4 linked regions of the Lonchura striata genome follow. The protein of the gene in region 1 interacts with the protein of each later gene in a pairwise test. Links are inferred from orthologs where the notes say so. Each region holds a gene or a part of one and is shown in the gene's direction. Other genes may lie near its edges. The genes, in order: SEC22A, DTX2, surfactant protein C and TMEM79.

Region 1 (7,237 bases):
ATCATACTGGGCCCTGCTGCAACAAGAGCCATTGGGACAATGCTGTATTTTGTTCTAACAGCTGCATTTATTGCCAGTGAGAGACTTTCTGTGACATTACGAGGTTGCTTCAGTCTTGCAAAGCCCTTGAGAATTAAATACTAGTGCTCCAGGAAAGAAACTTTTGGGCCCAGCACAGGACCTTAAGACTGAATCAGCAGAGGAGGTTTTTAAAAAGAGAAGTGAGGAAATAAACTGCATAATCTGCTGATGATTTTTATGACCTTGCTCACACTTCTGCTGATGCTGTGTTAGCAAGAACAGTTCATTGCAGTGAGCATAATCCTTGCTCTTGCGATTATGGACACAGGTTTCTCTAAAACCTCTAAAATCAAATGCAGTTTTTTAGAGTGCAAAATTGTTAGAAAGTCATGGGCTTTTAGCTAGTGCCATGATTTCAGCAGCCTGATTCGGAGTGCAAAGGCCTCGTGATGCAGCTGGGCTGCACTCCACCTGAATGCACCAATTCAACATACCTGTTTTTTCCTGGGAATTGACATTACTATCCAAGAAACAGGAAGCATATTAATGGTTGTTAGTCTGGTTAAAGCCTCAGCTTGAATAATACCTCCAGCTTCAAGCACCAAACTTTAAGGAAGATATAAGGGAAAAAAAATGGTACAGAGAAAGGAGCAATATAATGAGAAACGTGTAGTAAACAGAAAAGTGTTTTCTTTTGCAAAAAACCCTGAGTATGAATTTTCCTTTCAGAACCTTTATTGTTGCTCCTGTGACTCCAGCACTGATGAACACAACTACTGCCAGCTCCTCAGGCTGGTGTTTTTCCTTGGGGAAACCTGATTTTAAAGTCATGTTTAAATCCAGTGGACAGAGCCTAAAGGTTTGTCTTCCCTACCTTAAGTCATCCAAAGCCAAGGTGCATAAATGCAGCTGGACATGTCTGCTCCCTGCAATGACTGAGGAGAAATAGCAACACAGAGCTTCTTCACAGAGGGCAATTTCCAGATCACTGAACATCTGTGAGGTAAATCCTGTCCTAACTCATCTCCAAGCATTTGCTGCTAGGCTTTGCTTTCAGCTGGCTGATGACACACTTGGCAAGTAATGGCTTCTCTGTTTTGCTCATGTAGAGGCCCCTCATTGGCATTTCTGAGGGGGCTGGCACCATGGGCACTCCTTTGTCACCCATCCTTCCCATCCCGCTCTCCCTTCAACCTCTGACACCATCCACACCTCTCTTGTCTCCTCATCTCTCCTCCTCATTCTGAAACACCTCATTCCTCCACTATGGCTTCCCTTTGCACTGACTGGATTTACTTCTTAGGAATGTTTTATCTCTGGCTGCAGCTTTCACTAATGCATTCACTGCACGCTGCCCCTCTGACAATGTTTTACTGCTTCCGTGTCTTAGGGGAGTCAATGGGACAAGGAAAAGACACAATTTAAAGTGTAACTGGCTTGTTAGCCATGCAAATTCTTGAATAACAGATATGATTTAAGTTCACCATGAGAGCTGGGAGGGTTGGAGTTGTAACCTCATTTCTGACTCTGCCGCTACCTCCCTCAAGTGACCTTGTGTGATTTATTTAACCTCTTGGGGCCAGGTTCACCTGAAAATAAAGAATAATGTCGGTTTTTCCCCTAGGAGTCTTAACTAATAGATGTGTATACAATACTTGAAATCCTGTTTATGTAAATGAAGAATGCTTATCTTTTTTCTTTAAAACATTTACAAAAGGTTAAGAGAATTTTAGTGTTGAAAGATAAACAGTTCAGAAGAAGTAGAAAAAATAAAATTGCACATGTATGCACTTATCACAAACCTTTAGACAGCCTCTAATTAAGTAATCACTAGTTCTCTGCATTATAGTAGATGCTATCATAAGCTGTTAAACTGTGCAGCAGCTTGTAATACCGTGCACTCTGTTTATACAGGATAAGGACTCTCTGGAAATTATTCAGATTAATGTATCATCTTCTGAACATGTGCTTTACTTCTGCATAGTCAGTCAGGATTGAGATGTTCCCATGCTCCACTCTACAAAAGCCTGACTGGGAACAGTTTTTCCTGACAGGCCAAGATACTTACTTGCAGATGCCAAGTTGTATATTCAAACATGCAGATGTTCCATCCCTTGCAAGGCTTTAGCAAGACCCGTTCATGGTGCACATCCTTGGCAGCTCCCATCAACAGTCAGCTTGCAGTGAGAGAAGGATGCTTAGGAAAGACTCCCATCACTTTTTCTTGAGCTTTTAAGTTCACAGAAAAACAACCTCATCAAGCAGGTGACTCTCCTGCTGTTGCCCCTCTGCTCACCTGCTCCTTCCTTCCCCTCCCACATCTCCATGCCAGCCCCATCTTCTGACTCCCCTCTTCACCACTTTCCTGTCTCGAGTCTGCTCTAGAAACAATTTTTCCCTTTTTCCCTTTTTGCCAGTTTCCCCCTCTGTTACTCAGCCCCAGAACCACAATTAATCTTGTATCCCTTGCTGTGGTCTTGCTTGACTCAGGGAGATCGAACCCTTGGCTTGGCTGAGCTTTGCTTGAAGACAGAGAAGAAAGCCTGGAGGCTGAAAGGGTACAATTAATCTCCAGCAATAGCAATTTACTCCACGTTCTAAGATCTAAGAGATTGTTTTTCCTCACTTGGATCACTGGAATATGGAGTGAGGCAATGCCCCTCTGATATCCAGGGGTGCCATAGGTGTCTGCATAAAATTGCTTGGAGAAGTAAGAGTTGAGGTTGGAGACCGTTGATTTTCTCCAACACCATCTTCCTGATTGCCTTGCTCCTGAGTAGGGCTCAGCAGAGCCTGAGAGTCCAGAGTGTGAGGTGTGTTACCTCTGTCCCAATACTGCTGTGCTACAGGCACTTGGATAAGTGAAGTAGTAACAGATGGAAGGAGAAATTAAAAGGCGTTAGTGAGGAAATAAACTGCTTTCATTTCAGATTTGAGCCAACAGACTAAAATGGTGTGATTTGGTATGAAAACAGTGAAGTCAAAGAGTGATACAGTGAGAAAATTATCCTTGTATCAGTAGAAAAACATTTAAAATAGGAACCTCACTCTAGGGTTACTAATGAGTTTGCAAACTTTCACTTTTGTATTGTCATTTATTGTTGAAACATGCCCAGTTAATTTCTTGGGAAATGAGTGAGATTAGCCTAGCATCTGGTCTCATCTCAGTGCACTTTTGCTGGTGGCTATTCTGTCCCTATCACACAGGTGCCAGCAGCCACGCTCACTGCCCCAGCACAGGACCCCGAACCTACCTGGTTACCCACACAGTGCCAGGCACATGCCAAGGGCTGTGTGATCCATTAAACCTGGCGGACACCAGCCAGCAGCTGTCAGAAGTTATTACACGGGAGAGCCCAAAGCGCACAGCTCCTAAAGCTGAGCTGTGCTGACAGCAGAGCGAGCTGTCCCGGAGGAGGGGAGGCTCGGGGCTCATGTACCGCTCCCTGCAGCTCCCTGGGACAGGCGGGGTCGGGCTCTTCGCCCCGGGCACAGACAGGAGGAGAATCGCAAGGTGCACCAGGGGAGGCTCAGATGGATCATTAGGAAGCCGTTTCTTCACAGTGGGTGGTTTGACACTGGACTGAGCTGCCCAGGGAAGCCGTGGAGTCACCATCCTTGGAGGTGTTTAAATAAAGACTGGATGTGCACTCGGTGCCCACCTCTGGTTGACAGGATAGTGTCGAGTCATAGGTTGGCCCCTATCATCCCGGAGATATTTTCCAACCTGGGTGATTCTATGATAAATTCAGCCTCAGACGAGGCTGTGCGAGACAGCGCCGGCGGTGCTCGGCTGCTGCCGCCCGGGCGGTGAGACACACCCGCGGCCGCGATCCGGGCCCGGGAGTCCCGGAGTCTGGCTGCGGCATCCCGCCACGCAAGGGCGGCGTTCCCTTGGCCCGGGGCACGGCTGACGGCGGGGCCCGGGGCACGGCTGACGGCGGGGCGCGGGGCAGGGCTGACGGCGGGGCCCGGGGCACGGCTGACGGCGGGGCCCGGGGCAGGGCTGACGGCGGGGCGCGGGGCACGGCTGACAGCGGGGCGCGGGGCAGGGCTGACAGCGGGGCCCGGGGCAGGGCGGCCGCCCAGGGCTGACGGCGGGGCGCGGGGCAGGGCTGACAGCGGGGCCCGCCGCGACCCCTGAGGGCGGCGGCGCCCGGAGTCCCCTCAGGGCGGCCCCGCCCCGCCCCGCGCGGGGGCGCTGCGGCGCACGCGGCCGTGTCCGCTCCCACAATGCCCGGCGGGACCGCGCGCCGCCGCCGCCCCGCTGCCAGGTACGGCTCGCGCCCCCCGCGCGCGGCCGGCGCCCTGAGGGCCGCGGGCGGGGCGGGATCCGCGCCCGGAGCCGCCGCCCGCCCGCACTGCCCTGCCCTGCGCCCTGCCCTGCCCTGCCCGCACTGCCCCGCCGCCGCCTCGCTTCTCCTCGCTCCCTTCCCCTTCCGCCTGCCCGCCCCTGCCGGCCCCAGGCCCGGCCGCGGAGCCTCCCGGCCGGCTGCGTTCGCGCCTCAGCCGCGGTCGGCGCGGGGCCGCCGCCGTCTCGGGGGGTGCGGGAGGCAGCCAGGGCCGCTCGGGGCTCCTGGCAAGCGCCGCTCGGTAGCAGAGCCCGCCGTGCGCAGGGGTTCCGCCGCTCCGCAGGCGGGAGGGTTGTGAAGTTGTGTGAGCTGGAGCGGTGCGGGTCCGCCCGAGTCGGTGACCGCCGAGTCAGCGCGGCTGCTGCGGCCGCTGGGGGCCGTGCCCGAGCTGCCACGTAAGTAGGTGCTAGGCGAAAGGGTCAGGCTCCCAAACTCTGGGGTGCAACTCGTTCCGTTCCCTTAGCTTGTCAGAATTGTTTGGACGTTAGGAGGAATTTCTTCCGAAGGGGTGATTATATATTGGATTGGGATCCCAGGGAGGTGGTGGAGTCACTGTGCCTGGAGCCACCTGTTAAGGAAAGACTGGACGTGGCACCCGGTAGTGGTGTCCAGTCACAGGTTGGACTCGAAGATCTCAGGTGTTTTCCAACCTCATTGATTCTGCGAATCTTGATTCTGCCTCTGAGATCTCTTTCCCCCTGACTTTTTGGAAAGAATTATTATATTGGCTGGTGATTTAGGATTATTCCCTTGTCTTATCATACCCGATGATGTCAAAGTAGCTTTGTTTGTTGTGTCCTTCTGTAGTGCTCCAGTTTGTGATATGAATTTCTGAAGTATTATGTAGTATGAAAAAATTAAGCTCCCTCCTGTATAATGCAGCTGTCACAACCCTCAGAAGTGGGGACAATAAATTGTCCAACAGTGTTAGGTATGTGTTTTATGTAAGCACAGAAGTTTTATCTGTATTCTGTGTCAGACAGGAGTTCAGCTTGCATACCTTCCCAGTTTTATATATTATGGAAAGGTTTTATGAGAGGCAGACATCCCAACAAGAAATGCGGTGATTAAATTGGCTGAAGGTTATCAGGTGCAGGAGGGTAAGCTTGCCATTACACTCGATCTGGTCAGAATTTTGAGAAAGCTAGAGTTTTTTTTAAGTGAAGCATCCTGAGCAAATCATAGTCACAAGTCACTTTCAAACACTTGTTAAAAGTGTTACAAGACTATGTCAGATATGTTTAAAACAATTAACTGTCAGATCACAAGTTAGATGATGAATTTGTTACAAAAGGCTAGAATGCTCCACTCTCCGTTTTCAGTGTTTCTAGGACTTCTGTAGATGCTGTGGATTAGGTACCATCGTAACACTGAAATAAACAACATGATAATTGAATATGGCTTAAAAAAAAACAAGTACAGTGAAACAGGCTCTGGTTTCTGTCACCTGAGGTTTCTTGTTCATGGGAGGAAATGAAACCAGGCACATGTGCTGATTGCTAGTTCTGAAACAGTGGATACTGACATGTGCAGGAGGAATTGGACAGCTCTTGGGAACGTGCAGTAACAGAGGAATATCCACCCTGCTCCCTCTTACCTGTCTGTGGCCAGCTTTCTCCATGCTCCTCTTTTCCATGAGTCCTCTCATTTGTGGGGAGGGCTGTAAAAGGAAAATCAACAACAATGGGGCAGAAGTAAATACTAGCTAAGGGAAACAAGAATGGTGCAAGCATGGAGTGCTGCTTCTGTGAGGTACTTTCCCTGTTGGTGTTTGTGTGGGGGTCAGAATCCCTCTGAGCAAAAGGTTATGACTTGCTTTTAGTATCCCAGGTAGTTTTTCTGTGAACTTTTCCAGTTGCTTCTTAAGCAGCCTGTGACAAAGGGGTTCCACTGGCTGGTGACAAGTTTTGGATCCTCTGTGATACCTGTGACCCAAACAGCTGCTGGTTGGATTTGGTATTCCACAGTTCTGTCATGGAATGAGGCCGTGAACCCAATCTGTTCATTTCCTGGCACCTATAAGAAATTCATAGGCCATTTGTAGTGAAAGTGCAGTCTTTTGTCATCTTCAGGTGGTTGAGGGATACATAATTTTTGGAGGAAAATGTATGAAATTTGTAACAATTTGGTGAATTACTTAATGCAGCTTTGAATAGATGTTTCAAAAAGACATTTAGAAGTAACTCTAAAAGCATATTTGTCTTTCTTCAGTCTCTAAATATATAAGTGCATATCAAATTTACCACTTAGCTCTTTGTGTAAAGCTGTATAGTTTTGAGAGCTGGATAAAATAGATTTAATAAACTTTCTTTCTTTGATAATACATTTTCAGGTAAGGCTGAATGTTCTGTTACAGTACGTGTATTATACATTTCTTGACATACATATGATCTTCCAGCCAAAGTAATTTATTAGCTTTGGTTTTTAGATAGTTTTCTGATTCTGCTGTTAGGAGGCTGAGAAAAAAGTTCATATTTTCACTGGGTGGGTTTTTAAGATGATGGTAACAAAACCTAACTGGTGTTAGGATCTTCAGCTCAGCACAATTTCTACCTTGCGTGATTTTGTCATATATGAAGAGAATTGGCAGGTTTCAGTAGAGGCTTATCTTCTGTTATAGAGCCTGTTTTTCTCTGAATGTAAGCAGGAGTCTTAAAGAAAGTTGTGTTCAAGATTTATGCAAATATTTATTTACATACAGATTAGACATAAAAATTGAAAGAATACCTCTGAACATGTCTTTATCATTTGTTTTGTCTGTTGTCTGTGCATACATGCTGTTGTTAGTGGTATTTATGTTCTTTGTTTTCAGTTGTAGGAGCAAAGCAAGTACGATGAGATTGAACATGTAAAATATTAATGCT
Region 2 (7,561 bases), on another chromosome or scaffold:
AAGAGAAAGGAAATCTCCGCTGGGGAAAACAGGCAGAAGGCAAAACGGGATGAGTTCTGCTCCTAATTAGCATTAGTGGTGAGGTGAATGTGGCCAGAGCAGGTAAGACAGAAACACAAACCAGAGGACTCGGCTCCAGAGTTTCCTGGCTGGATTTAACAAAGGCAGGGATGGAAAGAGCCTTTTGATTGGGGTCAGGATGACAGGAGAAGGGGCTGGGGTTTCAAATGAGAATGGTAAATTTAGGATTGACATAAGGAAGGAATGTTTTATGATGAGTGTGGTGAGGCCCTGGCACAGGTTGCCCAGAGAAGATATGGATGCTGGAAGTGTTCAAGGTTAGGTTGGGTGGGGCTTGGAGCAGCCTGGGATGGTGGAAGGTCTCCCTGCCCATAGCAGCGGGTTGGAACAACCTGGGCTGGTCCCTTCCAACATAAACTGTTCAAGATTCTGTAATTTCCTCTGAAAAGGCAGGCAGTGGAACACAGAGAGCTGAGCTGAGCTCATGGGGCATCTCCCACTACCAGCAGGGATGAGGAACAAGTCCCTCTCAGCAGGTAAATCCCAGGGTTGGACAGCAAAGTCACCCAGCAGGAGGGGAATGCACACACCAGATCCATCCCTATTTGTCTTTCGGGTCCCTGGCAGGAACCAGCAGCAGCTGCTGCAGAGGAGAATGAAATGAAATTTCACCTATTATCCTTTGCCTGCAGAGGAATTTATTCCTAATTCCTGTCACTTTGTGTTTGTCTGCTCAGGGAAATTAATCTGAAATCGAGTGGGCTGTGAATTCAAAGTGCTGCAGCAATCCCAGCAGAGCTTGGACAGGCAGTTTCCTGAGTGGCCAGGCTATTCCCTGGAGCACCAGGCTAAGCCTGGCAATTTAACAGAGCCTCAAGCATCAGATTTTGTAGACATTAGTGTAGGACCTTGTGTGAGAGGGAGCAGCCACAGAGAAATTAATTCAAAAGGCTTCCAGCACCACTGCAAGAACAGGAGCTGGGGGAAGGCAAATATTTGGCTGGTTACCCCAGTGTGTGGATGGATCAGACAGGAGTTGATGCCTTGTTGGAGGACTCAGTGCTTTGCATACTGATTTGGGGTGCATGCAGAGAAGGGTGTAGGAAAGAACAGCATGGGGAGGAAGGGATCCAGCTGAAAAAAAAAAAAAAAAAAAGGCATAAAGGACAAAATCTGGGGATTATTAAGGTAAAAATAATGTAAAATATAAAATATTTTTGCAGGCAGTGAGGACTGTGAGGTCTGCATCCCTTGTTTTCACAGGTCCTTAGGGACAGCAGGACATTGAGGTTCACCTTTCAGACTCGGGGAAGATCTTTGCAGTCACCCTCACAAGATAGAAATGTTGGAGGAAGTTGTGCAGTGGGGTCTGACAGGCTCAGCTGGTCACCAGACCCCAGATTCATGTTGCCCGTGGCTCTGTTAACCCCTTTCAGGTTGTTGGACCATCATGGAATGCGGGACAAGTGATGAAAAGGTGTGAGTGAGAAAAGGGAGACTGAGGACCAGCCATGCACTTGTACTGCTGAGATGAGGTACCTCAGCCACTCTCTGTGCCTGGCAAAACCCTCCAGGGACCCTTATGCAAGATCAGATCATGAATCCCTGCTCAAAACGAAAAAAAAAATAAATCCAATGCAATTCAAGACTCTTCCAACAGCTCAGCCACCACCTGACTGGTTTATCTCCACCACACTGCCCTTCCCTCCACCCAGGAGCTGCACCCAATTCACCTCTGCTCTTCCCCACCCTGCAGCCCATATCAGTAGCACCTTCAGCCTCGGAGCATCACCCTGAGGCCTCACCCATCCTCTCCCAGCCAGGATTCCTCACTGGGAGCATCCCTTTATCTCCCAGCCATGCCATGAAGGTCTGCAAGACTGGACAGAAACCCTTCTTCACCATTCTCAAAACTCCCTGAAACATTTTTCTATTTAGGATCATAGGACATTTCATACCTGCCCACCCATGCAACCACATGGATCACATAGTCTGCTCCCAGCATGGCTTTATGAAGCATCCCTATCTATTTTTTAGGAAAAAAAACCCTTTGCATTGCTCTCCAGTTTCTAATTACAGCCACAGGAGACAGGAATCCCAAGCACCTGAGTTGTAAATGTGAAACTTATTGCTTTAGCAGACACATTGCAAGCAGGCTATCAATCACTTCTGGCAATTATTAGTACTTTGTGAGTATTTTGAACTCAAGTGTGTGACAGTCTCATCCGTCCTGGAGCAGAGAAATCCATGGGCATTTGCATACAAGGCTGAGCTGTGGGGGGATGCAGCTCCAGAGGGTTTTCATTGGAGCTGTCATGGTTATGTGCTTGCCACTGTACATTTTGGGATGAAAACCAACTTTATTCAGGGTCTGTGAAGATGAGTCTCACATATTGAATCCTGGAAGAAGAGTTTTATAATATCCCTCTATTCCTACAGTATGTAGTGGTTCTGTATGTTATTTTTTTTGCTGTAACTATTGACTCCAAACATAATGTTCTTTATTTTATAAGACTTTTAGGGCAGGTGTATCATGTCATGGGTGAATCAGTGCTGCTGGGTGTAAAGTCCAGGGAGGTTACAAATAATTTGATAAGAATTGGTGAACACTTCCTGGTTCAGAAGGAATTATAGTGATCTTAAGGGTCTTTCTGAACCTAAATGATTCTCTGGTTCTGTGGTTCTTTAACCACTGCTGCTGAGGTCTTGGTGGGGGTCCCAGGAAAGGGAAAAACCCAGGTGGGGTCTGACCTACCTCTAAGAGAGCATGAAGAAGTGATGCAGCACCCTCCAAGATGCTCCAGGATCAAAGGAATCCCGAAATAAACACACAGCTCTTGCAAGGGTGGCGATGGAGGTGCAGCAGCTGGGAAGGAGCAGCGCTATGTCCTCGGAGAGATCTGTGGCACACAGGGCTGTGTTCCAGCATCCTCACCCCAGCCAGGGAGCAGGCATCTCCACGGCTCGGCTCTGGAGTTACTTGGATGTAAAGGAAACCCTCAAGGTGCTGAGCAGCTGATTCATGCAGGCTGGATGTGGCTCCAAGGGTCACACCCACGTTCCTACAGGAGCTCCCATGCCCGGCACCCAGAGGTGCTAAACTGGAGGAGAGGGTGCACTGGTGGTGTGCAACACACACACACACGGGCACACTCACACTCACAATCCCCTGCACACACAGAGCATCTCACACCCCAGTACTACACATGCTCACACTCACACGGGTGTTATCACACTCACACGGGTGTTATCACACTCACACAGACGGTATCACACTCACACAGACCATATCACACTCACATGGACGGTATCACACTCGTGCACACTGCCACACACACTCTCACACACCCCACACCATCACAGACACTCTCACACTCGCTGCCCCACATACACACTGCCAGTTCTCTCTCACACTGTCACTGTCACTTACACACTTTCCCACATCTGTTCACACTCATTGTGACACAATATCACACACACACTGTCACATACACAGTCACACTCTCACACGCTGCCACTCGTGCTGTCACACAGTAACACACATGCTCATTATCATTATCACACACTCATTACCACCCTTGGTCCTGCACACTCACACTCATTACCATACTCATTATCACACTCATTCCCATATTCATTATCATGCTCATTACCACACTCAGTCCTGCACACTCACACTATCACACTTATTACCATAATCACTTATTGACATATTTACTATCACACTCATTACCACACTCAGTCCCGCACACTCACACTCTTTATCACATTCACACTCTATCACACTCATTATCACACTCATTACCATACTCATTATCACACTTATTACCATACTAATTATCACACATTACCACATTCATTACCATATTCATTACCACACTGGGGTTCTGCACTCTCACACTATCACGTTCATTATCACACTCATTATCGCACCCATTGCCATACTCATAATCACACTCATTATCACACTCATTACCACACCCGGTCCCGCACACTCACACTCTATCACACCATTACCACACTCGTTATCACACTCATTACGACACACTCACACTCTTTATCACACTCATTATCACACTCATTACCATATTCATTATCACACTCATTACCACACTCATTATCACATTAATTATCACACTCATTACCACACTCATTACTCACTCGGTCCCACACACTCGTTATCACACTCATTACCACACTCGTTATCACATTAATTATCACACTCATTACACACTCATTACTCACTCGGTCCCACACACTCGTTATCACATTAATTATCACTCTCATTACCACACTCATTACTCACTCGGTCCCGCACACTCACACTCTATCACACCATTACCACACTCGTTATCACACTCATTACCACACTCGTTATCACATTAATTACCACACTCATTACCACCCCGGTCCCACCCCGCCTCGCGCTCGCCGTTCCTCGCCCTCACGCCTCCACCAATCACGTCCCTCCCTCCCCGCCTGGCCCCGCCCCCGGCCCCGCCCCCGCCCGCCCCGCGGCTGGCTGGCGTGCGCATGCGCAGAGGCTCCGTGACCGCGGGCCGGGAGCGGCAGCGGCGGGCCCTGCTCGGGGTGAGGGGCCGGGGGGCGGCTGAGGGGCGACGGGACCGGGGCACGGCGGCGCCGGGACGGGGAGCTGGGCTGGGTTGGGTTGTGCTGTGCTTCGCGAGGCGGGCACCCGCTGGCTGGCACCCCCGGCACCCCGTGCTCTGTGCCGCTCAGCCCGGGCCGTTCGCGACGGACCGCCCGGGCCGTTGCGGCCGCTCCGGGCCCGGCCTGCCTGGCGGCCCGGAGGCACGGCCGCTGCTCCCCTCGCAGCAGGCCCCCGCCCCTCCGCAGCTCCCGGGGCGCTCGGTGTCGCCCGGACACCCCCCGGCACGCGTGGGGTCCGACGGTGTCCGTGGTACCGGGAGCCAGCAGGCGGCTGCGGTGGGCGGCCGGTGCTGCCCGGGGCTCCCTGAGGGGCGGGGGGCCCCGAGCCGCCGGCTCCGCGGGCGGGACCTTCCGGAGCTCCTGCCACGGGCCGAAGGCGCTGGGGCGCTGGAGGAGCCCTCCAGATCGTGCCAGCTTCTCACTCACTAGTCAGTGGTCTCCCCGCGAATAAATGACCCGCCTGGGTGCCCAGAAGGAGCCAGGAGTAGTCGGGTTGGACGCAAAGTGTGCTCAGATCCCGTGTCCAGGTGGGATCCTGTGTCTGAGTGTAGCTGCTTTCCTCTCGCTGCCTCCGTTTTTCAATTCACCCATGCCCGAAACCAGCCCTCGGCTTAGCTGACAGGGAAACGCTTTGTTCCGCCTCAGTTGCCGTCTGTATTTTCCCCCTCCGAGGGGAACTTGCTTAAAAGCTTGTTTTGAATGGAAGCAGTCCAGGTTTGGAGCAGCCGGGTTTATTTCTTGTTGTTTTGGCTGTTAACCCAGCCACCTTGTGCCGTGAGGATCAGCAGAGGCTGGGAGAGGGCAGGACTGGGATGGGTCTGCGTGCTTGGAGTTATTACTGTGACCCTTCCCTGCTGCCGAGCTCTGTTCTTTCTCTTTGGTTGGTGCTGGGTGCTTGTGTAAGGAAAGAAGTGTTTGGGTATGAATTACCTGGCAACAGCTGCCAACCCTGTTGCATCGGGTTTTGCTGTGCCCGGAGGTGCAGCGCAGCTGGTGTGGGAGCCCTGGTTTGGGGTCGGGGGAGGACACCGGGCACTTGTAATGCTGTTCCAGTCATGCCCCGTCTTACTGCAGCCCTGTGGCCTCACTGTGCTTTATGTGCTCCCCTAATCCCTGTGTAATCTCTTCCCATGGGATCTTTGGTGCCCTCCCAGTCCTGACTCTAAGATGTTTAAAGATCCTTCTTGGGCTCTCTCTTTTCTGAACAACCTGCTGAAAAGTCTCTATTTTACCAGTCTGATGATTTTTATTTCTAATTCAGCCCAGCTAAAGAGCTCCCAAGGCTCTTTTTCTTTTCCAGGTACAATGTCACATTTTGTGATAACTTTTATCAGCGGTGGCAATTCAAGTTGAGAAACTTAACAAAAGGAGTTGGCATTTTTAGAAATCATCTCAGACCCATGAATTTTAAGATCCTGCATTTAAAGAGAAAGAAAATTCTGCTTTCTGGAAGTAGAACAGAGAATTAAACACAGCTTTCAAAGGTTTTAATTCCTGTTCTCCAGCTTTCTCACCACCATTTGCTGGAGTTTGAAGAGCAGGGAGTGAAGCTGCTGGAAAACACATCTGAAATGCATTGTTTTTTTCCTGTCCAAGTCCCCAATTAAAGCCATGTGGACAAATGTTTCAGAGGTTGTGCTGGGCATAAAGTTCCAATCAAACAAGTCCATCTTCGAGCTCTGAGCCTGTGTTACCAAATACCTTCTGAAGGGCATCTGGGTATATTTAAGTCTGCACTTGAATTAGCCAGGGTTTTGTTTTCACTGGAGGAAGGGTGGCCCAGAGGATTTCTGGCTAGAGCCATGACTAGAGCTTTTAGGGTTGATGTGAATTTCAGCTTTTCAAGGTATTTTTAAAGCTTGAGATGAAGTGTTCTACTCCATAGGATTTGAGTAAAGATGTGAGCTGGGATGTGTAACACATCCCAAACCACATCCCACTCTTCCCCAAACCCTTTCTGCTGCGGTGTAATGCAGAACACTGTACAAGCAGCTCTAGTTTTGAATTTCTCAGCTTTTACTGTTTGTGTGCTGCTGAATTCTCAAAGAGAAATCAGGAACTGTAACTTTAGGCCTTTTCTTTTTAGTTTCCCATAACTCCAGGACTTGTGTAATTCTGGTTTACTGATGCTCTCGTGCATTCCTCACTTCCCAATCTGTGCAAACAGCTGCTGGCTCCAGCAGCTTTCAGCAAGAACTGGCAAGAGGCTGAAATACGCCCCTCGCTCCTCCTTTGGAGCAGCAGTCCCAGCACAGGAAATATTTTTCCACTCTGATGGGGAAGTGGATGTTGGAGCACGCGACGCTCGTGCAGCCAGCCCGGGTATCTTCACATGTGGTCCAGGATTCACAGCACTGCTGCCACCCCGGCGTGAGGGACAGGCTGTTGTCACCCAGCTGTTGTCCCAGCGAGTGTAAGGTGGCACGGGAAGGAGGTGGCTTTTCTGCTGCGGTGTCTGCTTGTCTGCACTTCCTGCTGCTGTTTCAGAAAGGAAGGAAAACGAACCGCTGACTCCCTTCTCACAGCCTCCCTCTTCTCTGCTCTGCGTGTGGCTGCAGATGAATATTTGGTAATAACTTTGGGGGGGGAAACAGTGTTGGTTCTGTATATTTGGGGTTCAGAGCACCTAGTGCAGGTGGGTGGGACAGAAAATGCCACAGCCTGGCTCCTGCTCTGAGTCGAGCATGGATGATGCTGCTGATCCTTGAGCTGGAAAAGTGTTGGTGTGAAACCTGCCTTAAAAGAAGTGGCAGAGGCAGGTGTTGGATTTGATACCTTGAGTCGTAATTTGCTGTTTTGAGCAGTGAACTAACTGTCCTTGGTGTGTTAGGCAAGAATGGATTACAAGGAAAAGATTAATACCAGAGAC
Region 3 (6,950 bases), on another chromosome or scaffold:
GTGCCACGCACAGGTACTGCAGGTGCGGGAGCCCGGCGAAGGCGTTGTCCCCGATCAGCGAGAACTTGTTGGAGTTGAGGAGGCTGCAAAGAGAACGGGGGAGGAATCAGCGGCGGGCCCGGGCAAGGTGGGCACCGCGGTGGGCACCGAGCGGGGCACGGGGGGCACGGGGCACCTACAGGAACTGCAGGGAGGGGATGTGGGCGAAAGCCGCCTCCCGGATCTCCGTGAAGGCCGCGTTCACCATGGTCCTGCGGGAGAGACGGGGCTGCGGCACAGGGCACGGCCTGGCACGGCCACCGCCGTGCCCCCGGCGCGGGCTCCGTGTCACCGGGCATCGCAGAGGGACCCGGCGGCCGGCCTGGCCGGGGTGGGCACACGGAGGGGACGAACTGCGGGGGCTGGCACCCGAGCCGGGCCGGCACCCAGCCTGGGCTGGCACCCGAGCCGGGCTGGCACCCAACCTGGGCCGGCACCCAACCTGGGCCGGCACCCAACCTGGGCTGGCACCCGAGCCGGGCCGGCACCCAACCTGGGCTGGCACCCACGCATGGCATGGGGCCATGTGCACACACACGTGTGTGAGGGCACAGAATGGGTGTGTGAGTGCGTGCACACAGTGTAACACACACAAATGGGTGTGTGAGTATGTACACACAGTGTAACACACACAAATGGGTGTGTGAGTACGTACACACAGTGTAACACGCACAAACGGGTGTGTGAGTACGTACACACAGTGTAACACGCACAAAGGGGTGTGTGAGTATGTACACACAGTGTAACACGCACAAACGGGTGTGTGAGTACATACACACAGATGTAACATGCACTAAGGGATGTGTAAATACATACACACAGTGTAACACGCACAAATGGGTGTGTAAGCACACACAGACAGGTGTAACACATAAATGGGTGTGTGAGTACATGCACACAGTGTAACACGCACAAATGGGTGTGTAAGCACACACAGACAGGTGTAACACACACAAATGAGTGTGTAAGCACACACATACAGTGTAACACACAAATGGGTGTGTGAGTACGTGCACACAGTGTAACACACAAAGACAGGTGTGTGAGTACATACACACAGGTGTAACACACACAAACGAGTGTGTAAGCACACACACACGGGTGTAACACACCCAATCAGATGTGTAAGCACAAACACAGTGTAACACACACAAATGAGTGTGTAAGCACACACACACGAGTGTAACACACCCAATCAGGTGTGTAAGCACACACACTGAGTAACACACCCCAGTCAGGTGTGTAAGCACACACACACAGTGTAACCCACACAATCAGCTGTGTAAGCACACGCACACTGAGTAACACACCCAATGAGGTGTGTAAGCACACACACAGGGGTGTAACACACCCTGTCAGGTGTGTAAGCACAGACAGGTGTAACACCACAAATGAGTGTGTAAGCACACACACACAGGGGTGTAACACACCCAGTCAGTTGTGTAAGCACACACACACAGTGTAACACACCCAATCAGGTGTGTATGCACACACACATGGGTGTAACACACTCAATCAGGTGTGTATGCACACACACATGGGTGTAACACACCCAGTCAGGTGTGTAAGCACAGACAGGTGTAACACCACAAATGAGTGTGTAAGCACACACACACATGGGTGTAACACACCCAATCAGTTGTGTAAGCACACACACACAGTGTAACACACACAATCAGGTGTGTAAGCACACACACACAGTGTAACACACCCAGTCAGGTGTTTTAGCACACACACACAGTGTAACACACACAAACGAGTGTGTAAGCACACACACACATGGGTGTAACACACCCAATCGGGTGTGTAAACACACAGACATGGGTGTAACACACCCAATGGGGTGTGTAAGCACAGACAGGTGTAACACCACAAATGAGTGTGTAAGCACACGCACACAGTGTAACACACCCAATCGGGTGTGTAAACACACAGACATGGTTGTCACACACCCAAACGAGCGTGCAAGCACACGCACACAGTGTCACACACCCAAACGAGCGTGCAAGCACACGCACTCAGTGCAAACACCGCCCCTGCCGCACACCCCCGCGCCGGGCTCCGCCGCGCCGCCCTGTCCCCCACCACGCCCCGCTTGGGGACACGGTGGCCAAGGTCACCGCCGCGTCCCCCGCGCCGGCTCCGGTCCGTCCCCGGGCCGGCGGCGGGGACCGGCCGCGGCCGCGCTCGCCTTGGCCCCGCGGGACACGGCCACACGTCCCGGGATGTCCCCAGCGTCCCCCGGAGCCCCCCGCAGGGCCGCCCCCGTCCCCCCGGGACAGCCCCTGCCACCCCCGCGCTGCCCTGGCGTGTGACACCGCTGTCCCCACCGCCGTCCCCACCGCTGTCCCCATCTCTGTCCCCACCGCTGTCCCCACCGCTGTCCCCACCGCTGTCCCCATCTCTGTCCCCACCGCTGTCCCCACCGCCGTCCCCACCGCCGTCCCCACCGCTGTCCCCACCGCTGTCCCCACCGCTGTCCCCACCGCCATCCCCACCGCTGTCCCCACCGCTGTCCCCATCTCTGTCCCCACCGCTGTCCCCACCGCCGTCCCCACCGCTGTCCCCATCTCTGTCCCCACCGCTGTCCCCACCGCTGTCCCCACCGCCGTCCCCACCGCCGTCCCCACCGCTGTCCCCACCTCTGTCCCCACCGCTGTCCCCACCGCTGTCCCCACCGCTGTCCCCACCGCTGTCCCCATCTCTGTCCCCACCGCTGTCCCCACCGCTGTCCCCATCTCTGTCCCCACCGCTGTCCCCACCTCTGTCCCCACCGCTGTCCCCACCGCCGTCCCCACCGCCGTCCCCACCGCTGTCCCCACCGCTGTCCCCATCTCTGTCCCCACCGCCGTCCCCACCGCTGTCCCCATCTCTGTCCCCATCTCTGTCCCCACCGCTGTCCCCACCTCTGTCCCCACCGCCGTCCCCACCGCTGTCCCCACCGCTGTCCCCACCGCGGCTACTCACAGCGAGATGACCTCGGGGGGCAGGTTTTTGGGCACGGCCTTGGAGTCCACGCAAAAAGCCGTGTCGCGGGTGCAGGAGCAGCTCGGGGGGCACGGGGGAGGCCGCGGGGGCCGCCGCCCCTCCGCCGGCAGGCAGAGGAAGGCCACGGCGAGGAGGAGGAGGAGGAGGAGGAGGCGAGCGGGGAGCTGCTCCCTCGGCATCCTGCCGCGCCGCAGCTCCATCGCTCCCCAGCCTGATCCCTGCTCCCAACGCCGCTGTGCCCGGCAGCTGTGGAAAAAAATCTTTATTTTCCTCTCTTTTTTTTATTTTTATTCCCCCGAGGATCTCAGCGTGGAGGAGAAGCGGCGGAGCCTGCCTGACCCGCGGCTCTGCAGCACATCATGCCCGGTGCTGCGGGAGGGAGGGAGGGAAAGAGGGAGGGAGGGAGGGAGGGATGCGGCTGAGTGACATCGCCAGCATCCCCGTGCACGCGTGTCCGTGCGCGCGTGTCCCCGGCAGCGACCACCCTCGGGGCTCCACGCCGCGGGTGGGAGCGGCCCCCGGGCTGCTTTTGGGGTGCGCAGAACTGGGGAGGGGGGACACGCCAGGGGTGATGCCCCCGCAGTGGCTCCCCCAGCTCGGCGCCGCAGCGCTGCCCGCTGCGGCCGCAGCGCGCTGGGCAGCGATCCACGCCGCCCCGGGCACCCGGCCGTCCCTGGCACACATCTCTCCCGTGCCAGGCGTCCATCTGCGCCCGGCCTGGCACGGAGCCTGCGGGAACAATGAGTCCAGCCAGCTCCTTCCCCACCCCGGGGGGGGGGCTCGCACAGCTGCCCGTGCAGAACCAGGGGTGCAGCCCCCCTCTCCCGGGACCTGCTGGAACCCCTCTGCCGCAATCCCGGGATGGGTGTGGAGGGAGGGCACTGCCCGCTGTTTGCCTTGGCACCCCCACAGCGCTGGCGGGCAAATGGCACGGAAGGGCCCTCGGAGGCTTCTTGTCCCCTCCCTGGCTCTTGTGCGCGCTCAGCAAACAGCACAAGCGGCACTCGGCAGCTGGAGTGGCCCCAGCCTTCCCCGGCCGCCCGGGATCCTATAAATACCCCCGGGCCCGCGCTGGCAAAGGGACAGGAGCGCACGGGGAGATGGACGAGAGCTCCAAAGAGGCGCTGATGGAGGAGGCACCTCCGGTAAGGAGCACCCAGCACCCACGCTGGGCGCGGGGCTGAGTCCCCGGTGCCCCGCGGTGCTGGCGGCTCAGCCGGGCGCTCCCCCGTGTTCCCCCCACCAGAGGTACACGGAGTCCCCGCGCCTGCCCTGCATCCCCCACGAGCTCAAGAGCCTCTTGTTGATGGTGGCCCTGGTGGTGGTGGCCCTCGTGGTGGTCAACGTCGCCTTCCTCCTGCTGGGGCTGCGCCTCAGCGAGTCCCACGCCGAGACGGTGAGGGCAGGAAGGGACCGCGGTGCCACCGGCGCCGGGAAGGGGTTGGGATGGCACCGCGGCTTTGTGGGGAGGGGGCTCAGCCCCCTGAGCCCCCTGAGCCCTCTGCCCCCGGCAGGTGTTGCGAATGACCACCCACGGGCTGGATGGCGACGGGAGCCCGCAGCAGCTCGCCGTGAGCAAGAAGGAGCGGAGCGGGACGTTCGCGGTGCGGGACGGGCACAACGGCTCGGCCGCGGTGGTGTACGACTACGGCAAGGTGCGGGGGCACCGCGGGAGCGGCGGGGCGGCCCCGGGGCCGTGCCGAGCCGAGCCGGCTCTGTAGGGAGCGCTGGGCTCCAGGAGGGTTTGGATGGGTGGAGACGAGAGATCTCTGGAGGCTGCTCTTGGGATATCAGGTTTATTAGGGATGGAGAAAGGTCTTGCTTGGAGCTGCCCGGCGCAGCACGGGGCAAGGCCTGAGGGGATGGGGAGGGGAGAGACAAGAGGATGCTCCAGGAGAGGGTGGGAGTTCCAAGAGAGCCGGGATTCCAAGAGAGAGGAGTTCCAAGAGAGGAGAAGAAGAAGAAGAAGAGGAGGAGTTCCAAGAGAGCGTCCGGCCCCTCAGACACCCCTTATCAGGTGGTTCAAGGTGGGCTGGAACAAGATTTGGGCCAATGGGGTCACAGACACCTGATGCATCAGGGGAGGGTTACAGGTGTGGGATGAACATTTTGGGGGTTGAGATGGAACAGTCCATTTGACTTTTGGACCTACCTGTAGGTAAGGGTGTTGTCCATCCAGTAGGGAGGATTGTTTTCATCCTGGCTGTACTATAGTGAATCTTCTGCCAGGCAATTCTATTTATCCATCCTTCCCAACATTTATTTCCGATATTTATCCATCCTTTCCTCTGTCTGCCAACAGCTGCTGGTGGGATACAGGTCCTGGCGCCGCCGCGCCTGCCTCATCACCCGCCTGGACAAGGACAACTTGCCGGGGCTGGACGCTGTCACCGAGACCTTCCAGCGCCGGCAGGTGAGCGGTGACCACTGAGGGAGTGGAGCCGCACTGGGCTCAGCACAGCCCAGCCCTTGGGAAATGTGGGGCTGGGGGCTTGTCCCCTCTGGAGGGGACACTGTGGCTGCCGAGAATTGTAAATGCAGGCGAAGCCAATGGGAAGAAATGACCATGTCTGACTCAAGTCAGAAGGATGAATGATTTCTTTATTAAAACTATGCTAAAATACATCAATATACTATATAAAAGGAGGATACTAAAACTACACACTACTTTCTCTGATTTTAACTCTAACACCCTCTCTGAGAGTCCAGCCCCAGGTGGGTTGGATTGGATTGGGTTGGATTGGGTTGGATTGGATTGGATTGGATTGGATTGGATTGGATTGGATTGGATTGGATTGGGTTGGGTTGGGTTGGGTTGGGTTGGATTGGCCACCAGGCTCAAACAATCCTCACCAGAATCCAACCAAGCACTCACCCCAGGTAAACAATCCTCCAAACACATTCCACATGGGAAAACCAAGGAGCAGAAACAGAAATTGTTTTCTCTTTCATTTCTCTTTGTGCTCCTCTATGAAATTCCTGAGAGGGAGAGAACTTTGCCTGCCCCAGCCGCGGGTGGCAGCTCTGCTCCGTGCTCTGTCCTGCAGGATGAGGACGTTGGGGACAAGGCCATGCCCCTGACTGACCGCTCCATCCTGGGCACCACCATCAACATCCTCTGCAGCGCCGTGCCCGTGTTCTGGGTGTAGCAGCAGCTCCCAGCGGGATGCGACAGCCACGCGGGGATGTCACCGTCCCCCACGCCGCCTTCCAGGAGGGACAGCTGGGAACGCTTCCTCCTCCTCCTCCTCCTCCTCTTCCTCATCCCCATCCCGGGGACAGCCACCCCGCCCCGGGGGTGCTGCATCCGCTGTCGCTTGGCACTGCGGCTTTCCCCCTGCTGTCTCCCTAAAAAAAAGTGGGATTTGCTTTGGGATTTGCTTCTGTCTACAAAGTAAAGCCTGTGTTCACCTCCAAGCGTGCTCTTGCCCTTCCTGGGTGCTGGGGACAGGGACACGGTGTCCCAAGGGTGTCCCTTTGCAGGGTGCAGGGTGGGGAGGGGAATCACTCACGTTGGGAGGGATCAAACACGGGGAGGCAGCAGCAGAAGTGCACACGATGCTCCCATTGTCCCCATCCCTCATATTGTCCCCACCTGTGTCCTCCTATTGTCCCCAACTGTGTCCCTCCAGTGTCCCCATCCATGTCATCCCAGTGGCCCCACCAGTGTCCTCCTATTGTCCCCAACTGTGTCCCCCCAGTGTCTCCACCTGTGCCCTCCTATTGTCCCCAACTGTGTCCTCCTATTGTCCCCAACTGTGTCCCCCCATTGTCCCCACCTGTGTCCCCCCAGTGTCCCCCAGTGTCCCCACCTGTGTTCCCCCAGTGTCCCCCCATTGTCCCCACCTGTGTCCCCCCAGTGTCCCCCCAGTGTCCCCAACTGTGTCCCCCCATTGTCCCCACCTGTGTCCCCCCAGTGTCTC
Region 4 (7,962 bases), on another chromosome or scaffold:
AAATCTTGTTACATTCTTGACAACCAGCCCCTCCTGCTCACTGTCCTCTTTCTCATATGGCCTGAAAGGTGTTTGCAAACTCTGACAGCTTCATACCCTCATAGCAGGAAAGAAGCAAGTAAAATACATTTTGGTTTACAGGTAACAGGCACTGAGTGTGCAGCATCCATGCAAGCTCATATTTGGGTTAGGACAACCCAAAAAGCCCCCAGTTTAGCTTCCCCACAACAGAACCCTACAAAGCACAGGCAATGCACCTCTCCTTACTACAGCCTCAGACTGCTGTCCTAGCTGTGGCTCTCAAAGTCCCTTCCAGCACACCAGGAGCTGACTGGCTTCCTCTACAAAGGGTGACCAGGGGAAAGAGGAACTGCTGGTTCATTTGATTCCCAGAGAGAACTACAATAGTTGATTCCTGACATAAGCAGTAAAGCAGCTGTAAAATAACATTCTGTGGGCAACAAATCTCAGCTGTGTGCATCTGAAACAAGCACACGTGTCCATAACAGCCAATGTGGAAAATGATCCCAGTGGCCTGCCAAATGAGAAGTACAAAAAAGTTTCCTTCTGGGGACAGAAGGACATCACCTTCCCATCAAGGTGGCCCAGAGGGTATCTGCCATACAACCTAATTTTATACAACAACCCATGGATGGGCACATGCACACACTTGGTATTTCTGCTGTTCTTTCAGTGTTTGTAAAGAAACAGAGTTTGTGACCAGAGAGCAGCAAGGCTGACACTAGGATGTGTGTCATGAAGCGTCACACTTCATCAGCCCTAAGGGAGGCCTCAGCTGAAACACTGCCTTCTGCACATCCACACAGGCCCTGTGGTGCTGCTGGAAGAGAAGAAGGCAGGAGTAAAGCAGAATGTGACAGCTGGTGATTCCCTGCCAGGATCCCACATCTGTGGTGCTGGGGAAAGAGGACTCAGTGAGGACAAAAGGGACAGGAGCCAGCCTCACTCCAGAAATGCTGGGAAACACCAACACAGCTGCTATGGGCCATGCTCTGCTGGAAATGCACTTTAGCATCTGTGCCCTCAATTGTCCAAGACCACAGGTTGAACTTTCCCTAGCAGTTAAGAACGGAAATCCTGTCCCAGGACCCACTTTTCTACCTGCTGTGTTTAAACATTGCTTTCAGACAGTATATTAGAGCCACAAAGGAGGCACATCAGATGCCAGTCTATTAAAAGAAACAAATACAGCACATGGTGCCAAGCAGGGTGGAAACAGGCTAATGCCAAGTCTTCTCGAGCCATATAGACACTGATCAGCCCCTTTTCCTCCGTGCAATTAACACTCTGGGACGGAGCAGGACAGCAGGGAGAATTATTTGTCCCCTCTGTTTATTTAGGACATCACTAAGAGCCACAGTATCTGAGGAGTAAGACATTATTAAGAGAAAAGACCTGCAAGTCTTTTAGCTGTGCTCTGGCATGTGTCAGTACACTTTCTGGAACAGGTTCCACAAAACAACAGCAACACTGAGTCCATGAGCTAATGGTTACCCAGAAAGCTGTAAAATAAACCTGGTCACCTTACGCTACAACAAGCATTGTAAAAGTGCACCCATTATAATGCAGTTGCCACATTTCAAGGTGAAACCTGGGAACTCTCAATCTAGGAAGACTTGGAAAAGATCAAAGAGTACCCTATGAGAAGCAATGGGCACCTTCCTCTCTGAAAGGACACTCTTGACAGCCAACATGCTGCCAAGGACCTTGGAGACCTGAGCTCAGCTCCCACAAGCTGACAACACGCTGATCCCATGGGATCACAGTTTAGAGCTGGGACTATGGCATTCACGCATCTGTGACTCAAAGGTGCCACTTAGTGGGACAGTCATGAGCTCTCAGACCACAGCCACCACACAACAGGCAGGAAACTCCCACTTCAGGCTGGAACAGATGAGAACTGACAGGAGACTGTGAAGGTGGGAACCTGCTCAGAGAACTGTCAGCTACAAGGATAGAAATTTGTGGCCACTGCAGGTACTATAAATCCTGCACTAAAATCACAATGCTTCCTCCCTGCTAAAGAAGAGCTGTCCCTGCAGGAGGAGGGTGCTTCTTTTTCTGCTGTAAGAACTCTCTAGAGCAACTACACGCCTTATTCTGCTACAAAAATTCAAACAGAAAACAACCCCTCCCTTGCAGGGATGACAATTCCTCATCTGGCCACAGGCCGTTCTCTTGCTGGCTGCAGCAGAACGTGAGGTTCCACTTGACAGATGAGCTGAGCAGCACCAGGAAAACAAAGCAAAACAGGTCTTGAACAACAACGAGGAGGGTTTCAACAAAGGCAGAAGCACACACATCCTGCACATCCTCTCCAGCCCTGTCCCACACTCCTTGGGCAGGGACAGTGCTCTGCTGCTCTAGCTCAGCCTCCAGCAGATGTGGTGGAGATCACTGAAGGTGCAGCAGACACAGAGCCCCACAGCCCGGGGTGCTCTGGGCAGGACTGTGCAGCCTATACCTCCATCACAAGGTAAAACCCTGCCCTGCTGTAGAGGTAGGCAGTGAGGTCCCACAAGGTGCAAGGACACAGCCAATGTCATCAAGACAAAAAGAAATGGACCCTCATGTAAAATTCATCTCTTGTCTCCATCATTTTGCTCATCTTTGAGACCCAGAGCTGCTGCTGGAACTCCTGTGGATCTGAGCCAGAAAGGAACAATTTCTGGGCTGCCCTCACAAAACAGATCAGGAGCAGAGGGGGCCTGAGCTCACCAAGGCCAGCAGGAGTGCCCCAGTCCTGTTCTCTGATGCCATTTCCAATGCATGGTGTAGAAATGTGGGACCAGAGTCCCAGGGAGTGCTTAACTGGAAAGATCTGCAGCTGGAGCTGTCTTGCCCTCCACACAATAGCAAAGTGTCCCAGCTCACACTCCTGCTCATCACACCCACTCCAGCACTTCTCACATAATCCCTGCATAGTACCAAAGCCAGGGACACCCTCTCCAACCCCTCTCTCTCTGGATGACCCCACATCTCACCCTTATCCCACTGTATCCCAACAACTCCTTTCCACTCAGCCCCCACCATTCTCTCTGAATCCCACTGAATCCCTTTTTCCACCTCCCCATGTCCTTACTCATTATCCTGGGTGTCCCCTTACCCCCTTCCTGGTCTCCCACCTATCTCCTTCCCCTATCTCTCCATTCTCCCATCTTACCTGGATCTCCCACAGCTCCTTCCCCCAGTCCCTTGGTCTGACTAATCTGCCCTGAAGCCACCAGACTCCTTTTCCCCAGTGGAACCCCTCCATGTGTTGCTTATCCCCTCTGGATCTCATACAACTCCCTTCCACACATTGCCTTTCCCTGGTCTTCCCTAAACCTCCTCCCTCTCCTCTCCCTTTGCACTGCATCCTTTCCCTGGATTTCCCCACAACTTCACTTCAGTCTTCCCTAAATTCCATAATCTCCTTTCCCCATCTTCTCTGAATAGCCCTCCAATTCCCTTCGCCCTCGTTCTCCCAGTCTCCCCCGGATTCCCCTGGATTCAGGAGCCCCCTCCCCACCCCGCTCCATCAATCCCTGCTGTTACCTCGATTCCACCATCTCCTTCCCCCCGAATCCTTCCCTGACAACTCCCTCATCTCCTTTCCTTCCATCTTCCCTATATCCCGCCACCTCCTTCACCCTGCTCCTCGCCAGGCTCGCCCAAGCTCCCCCGCCCCAATCCCCTTCGCTGCCGTCACCCCCAGTCCCCGCCGGACGCTGCCCAGCCCCATTCTCCCTCTGCTCTCCTCGGGCACCCCCAGTTACCCCCCGTCCCCCTGAGTAACCCCCCGACCGTCTCCACGCCGGCCCTCCCCAGCCTCACCGGGAGCCGCCCCGGCCCCTTCCCGACACCGGCTGCCCCCGGTGTCCGCCAGCCCGCTCCCCTTCTCGGCCACCGCATCCCCTCCGGCCCCTCTGCTCACCGGTACAGCCGCTTGGTGTGCAGCACCTTGGCCTCCGGCTCGCCGCTCTCGCCGGCGGCCCCGCCACCCTGGCTCATGGCGCCCGCGGCAGGCCCGGCCCGGCCCCGCGGCCCCTCAGCACCGCCCGCGCCGCCGCCGCCGCCGCCCCCGGGCCCGCTCGGCCGCCATGGCTGCCCCCTGGCCCTCACTGCTCTCGCGAGATTTCCCGCGGCCGCGCCGCGCCGGGCGGGCAGGGCGGCGGCGGGGGCGACCTGGTCTCGCGAGAGCCAGCTCGCGCGAGAGGCCCGCACTTAGTGCTGGCAACATGGCGGCGGCCGCCTCAGGCGGGCGGGCCCGGTGCCGGGGCGGGCGCGGTGCCGGGGCGGGCCCGGTGCCGGGGCGGGCCCGGTGCCGCCCGGTGCCCGGGTCGAGCGCTGCACCAGAGCACCCCGCCTGGCTGTGGGGTCGGGAGCGGGGGCGACGGCGCAGGAATTCCTCCCCGCGCTCTGGGATCCCGAGGGACTGGCCAGGCATCCCGGCGGGTCCTGTGGGGCCGCGGCTCCCGCAGTGGTGTCTTCATGCTGAACCTTCTCACCTTCTGTAAACGTAACTGTGCCGTCACGTAACTTCTGTAAGAAAAGTTGCTCAAAATAAAACGACTTTGTATTTCAAGCATTGTGTTAGGTTACGATACATAAATGTTCTTTAGGTGGGCGGTGATGTGTATTAGACGGGTTAATGTAAATTTTACTGTATAGAAGGTGTAACTTCGTGTTACCCTTGGTGCGCTTGATTTGTGGAAAGCTCCACCTCGCACCCTCGCAGAATGAGCAAGGGCTGACTTGTCCGTCCCCTTTTTAAACTCTCTGTGTGTTTAGAGAGCTCTTTAACTTGGCACGCCCCGAGCGGCCCACAGGGAGCCGGGGGTCCCCCGCCTGCCACGGGGGACAGCGCCGGGCTCGCCCCGTCCCCTCCGCCGAGCCCCCGGGGCCACGCCGGGCTGGGACGGGCGGAGCGCCCGCCCCTCCGCCCGCCCCACCTGAGCCGGTTCGGCAGGTTCGCGGCGCGGAGGCGCCGGGAGAGCGCTGGAATCCCGCAGGGTCCCGCAGAGCTGCCCCCATGGCCCCCCGCCCGAGCCCGAGTGAGTGCTGCCGCGAGGGGAGGCGCTGCCCGGGGGAAGCGGGGCTGGGGGCTGCCAGAGGGGCTGGGCTCCGGGACCGGGCGCTGGAGGCACGGGAAACCTGGGAAGCTGTTTCAGCCCTAGTTCCGTGTGTGGGTCGCGGAGGAAGCCCCAAGCGGCTCCGTGCCTCAGTTTCCCCACACCTGTGGCCAGGCCAAGTTCCTGAGGGTGCAGGGATCAATGTGCTGAGAGGAGCGAAGGAGAAACGTTCATTGCAGGAGGCAGGCAGGACACTGAGGACGGGCCAAGAGACAAGGTTTCCCTAAGGGTAACAACATGGAGCTCTGCCCGTACCTCCTGCACCCATGGAAGGGCACCCAGCAGCCACTTTTGTCCACCCCACATCAGTCTCAGCTACAAGAGGCAGCAAACCTGGCCCGTGCCCGCTGTAGCCATGGTTCTGGGAAGCAGCTAGGTCACCTCTCCCCAGGGCTTGGCTGGTCCTGGCCCGGGAGAGAGCCACCAAGGAGCCAGTTGTATCTGCTGGGTTGTGCCCAGCTAGAACCCCCAGGATGTTGAAGTTATTCCTAGGCAGCCCTGTTTTGCAGCCAGACCTACACCTCCAGAGTTCACCCCTCCCAGGACAGTACCTGACCCTGCTGCCAGGGGCCAGAGCACAGGGACACCAGGCACTGCTTTCCCCTCCTAGTGCAAGGACAGCCGGGTAGTGGGGGCTCCAGGGCTGCCAGTTTGCTCCCACTTTGTAACTGGTGCTGTGCATGTGACCCCAAACCTCTCATTTCTGATGTAAATTTATCTGTCTCCTTTCTCCTGGTCCAGGGTGAAAGCAGAAAGGACAGGAACTTTATCCCCTCTGAACACCACAAGTGCAGGCAGCAGTGTTACCAACCCCCATCCCTGGCAGTGTGGAGCTGGACACTCTCATGGCTGCTGCAGACCCTGTCCAGCCCCCTGAGGAGGTGGCTCTGCTGGAGCTGGGGAAGGTGGCCCTGGCCAAGGTGCCACCAGCCCCAGGTGAGCACCAGGGGGACCCTGATTCCACCCTGCCATGGGACCAGAGTCAGCACAATGCCTGGGGCCAGCCGGAGCTCGTGGAGACAAAGAGGCGCTCGAGTCCTGAGGGTGGCCATGAAGACCCAGAGGAAGCTGCTCCCACCTGCCCCACAGTCGAGGCTGAAGATGAGGAAGTGCCCCGGCTGCCCGTGATGGCGGCCCACGTCTTTGTGCCCATCGACCCGCAGTGCATCGAGCAGAGTCCCATCAAGCAGAAGCAGCACCCAACCCCATGGCCCCGGGAGGAGAGCAGGGGGGATGTTCCCCCCAGCGTCCCCCCCAGTGACAGACCCAGCAGCCTCCACCACAAGCAGGTCTTCCTCCCCGTTGGCCCCTCGCGCTGCCGGAACCCACTGGGCTTTGAGGGGCACATGGCCAAGCCCCCGGCTGAGGGGTCACGGTGCCCGTGTGCCAGGGACTGTGGCACTGATAATCTCAAGGCTGTGGCATCAGTGGCAGGAGCCCTTCTCCTCTGCCCTTGCCTCATCTATGGTGCCTACATCTTCTTGCCCTTCGATGCCCCACTGCTGCCCACCGTCAGCGCCCGCCTGGTCTACACATTGCGCTGTGCCACCTTTGCCACCTTCCCCATCGTGCTGGGTGAGCCATGGGCTTGGGTATGAGTGCTTTACTCCTGCTCTGGGCTACGTGAGCCTGGGGCTGCAGGAGCAGAGTGGGGCTGAGCTCTTTGTGGCTCTGTTGCTCCCACCAGGAGCAGCAAATGGAGATTTTCTCCCCTCCTGCTTCTACCCAAACCCCACCGTGGCTCCACTGGGCATCCACTGAGCCTCTCTCTCTGTCCCTCAGGAATAATCGTCAGTGGCATCTCCCGCCTCTGCTCCTCCGCCCTGGAGCCCTTTGGAGAGCTCCACCAGGAGGTGGAGATCCACCGCACTTACGTCTCCCAGTCTGTCCATCTCTTCATCCTCTACTTCTTCAACATGGCTGTGCTGGCCACCTACCTCCCACAGGAGCTCCTCAAGCTCATCCCACTGCTCACAGGGCTCTTCGCCATCTCCCGGTAAGTGGCTCCTTCACCCCAGGCTGCTGGCTCTGTCAGTGCCAGCCAGCACCGTGCCTTGGAGCAAACTCCCACTGTGGCAGCACCTTACGCAGCTCCCCAAAGCCAGGAAGGGTTCCTCTTCCTACGGCAGCCATGCCTGGGAAATCCCCACTGGTCAGAACCAGTGAGTGCCAGCCCCACAGCATCACCCTGGCTGAGCCCGCACCCTCTGCCTTCTCCAGGCTGATTTTCTGGATGTCCTACGCCATCGGCCGCTCCTTCCGTGCCTTTGGCTTCAGCATGACCTTCCTGCCGCTCCTGGCCATGCTGCTCTGGAACCTGTATGGCATGTTCATCCTGGAGCCCGAGAACCTCCTGTCCTTGGCAACGCCAACGCCCGAGGGCCACTCCAAGGAGAGCCGAGCTAAACTCCGGCACTGGGGCTGAGGGAGGCCAGGAGATGGGGCGCCTGCACCCTACGAGTCTGAGCCCTCCTTCATGCACTGCCTCAAGAGCCCTGACAGCACAGGGGTGCTGGCACATCCAGCTGGGCCCCCGCTCCCTGCCTGGACACAGGGAGGTTTTGCTGGGCCCACCGAGCCAGGCTACAAACCCTCTGCACCACGAGACTCCTGCTGCAGCTGAAGAAGGGCCAGAGCAGGACAATGCAAGCGCTCTTCCCTGGGAATGGGGTGGGATTTGCTTCCTCTCCTGCTGGAGCCAACTTTGCCCAATAAAGCCCTTAACAAGCAGCTCTGTGGCTGGTTTGCAGAGGGTGAGTTAAATTCCCCAAAGAATGACTCAGAGCTTTGCCTACAGGATGTAATCATCCAGCCTCAAAATTATGTT

Evidence for each region.
Region 2: the proteins of SEC22A (region 1) and DTX2 interact in binary tests that used the Homo sapiens proteins (3 or more experiments, as listed by UniProt). The two-hybrid records come from large-scale screens. The link is inferred for Lonchura striata from reciprocal best matches to the Homo sapiens genes SEC22A and DTX2.
Region 3: the proteins of SEC22A (region 1) and surfactant protein C interact in binary tests that used the Homo sapiens proteins (3 or more experiments, as listed by UniProt). The two-hybrid records come from large-scale screens. The link is inferred for Lonchura striata from reciprocal best matches to the Homo sapiens genes SEC22A and SFTPC.
Region 4: the proteins of SEC22A (region 1) and TMEM79 interact in binary tests that used the Homo sapiens proteins (3 or more experiments, as listed by UniProt). The two-hybrid records come from large-scale screens. The link is inferred for Lonchura striata from reciprocal best matches to the Homo sapiens genes SEC22A and TMEM79.

What each region holds. Positions count from the first base shown.
Region 1 is NC_134610.1:10,875,850-10,883,086, reverse strand, and holds the start of SEC22A (vesicle-trafficking protein SEC22a), read left to right. Parts: upstream 1-4,223; 5' UTR 4,224-4,295; intron 4,296-4,577; exon of another isoform or gene 4,578-4,768; intron 4,769-7,237. UniProt on the Homo sapiens protein: May be involved in vesicle transport between the ER and the Golgi complex.
Region 2 is NC_134622.1:5,679,005-5,686,565, reverse strand, and holds the start of DTX2 (putative E3 ubiquitin-protein ligase DTX2), read left to right. Parts: upstream 1-4,558; 5' UTR 4,559-4,611; intron 4,612-7,561. UniProt on the Homo sapiens protein: Regulator of Notch signaling, a signaling pathway involved in cell-cell communications that regulates a broad spectrum of cell-fate determinations.
Region 3 is NC_134634.1:3,610,544-3,617,493, reverse strand, and holds surfactant protein C, read left to right. Parts: upstream 1-4,112; 5' UTR 4,113-4,127; coding exon 4,128-4,172; intron 4,173-4,273; coding exon 4,274-4,423; intron 4,424-4,541; coding exon 4,542-4,682; intron 4,683-5,329; coding exon 5,330-5,440; intron 5,441-5,607; exon of another isoform or gene 5,608-6,074; coding exon 6,075-6,176; 3' UTR 6,177-6,444; downstream 6,445-6,950. Other genes in the region: LGI3 (leucine-rich repeat LGI family member 3), read right to left, coding at 12-83, 180-251, 3,007-3,227. UniProt on the Homo sapiens protein: Pulmonary surfactant associated proteins promote alveolar stability by lowering the surface tension at the air-liquid interface in the peripheral air spaces.
Region 4 is NC_134635.1:1,095,558-1,103,519, reverse strand, and holds TMEM79 (transmembrane protein 79), read left to right. Parts: upstream 1-4,962; 5' UTR 4,963-5,057; intron 5,058-5,876; 5' UTR 5,877-5,980; coding exon 5,981-6,710; intron 6,711-6,917; coding exon 6,918-7,131; intron 7,132-7,355; coding exon 7,356-7,560; 3' UTR 7,561-7,865; downstream 7,866-7,962. Other genes in the region: nonsense-mediated mRNA decay factor SMG5, read right to left, coding at 3,938-4,014.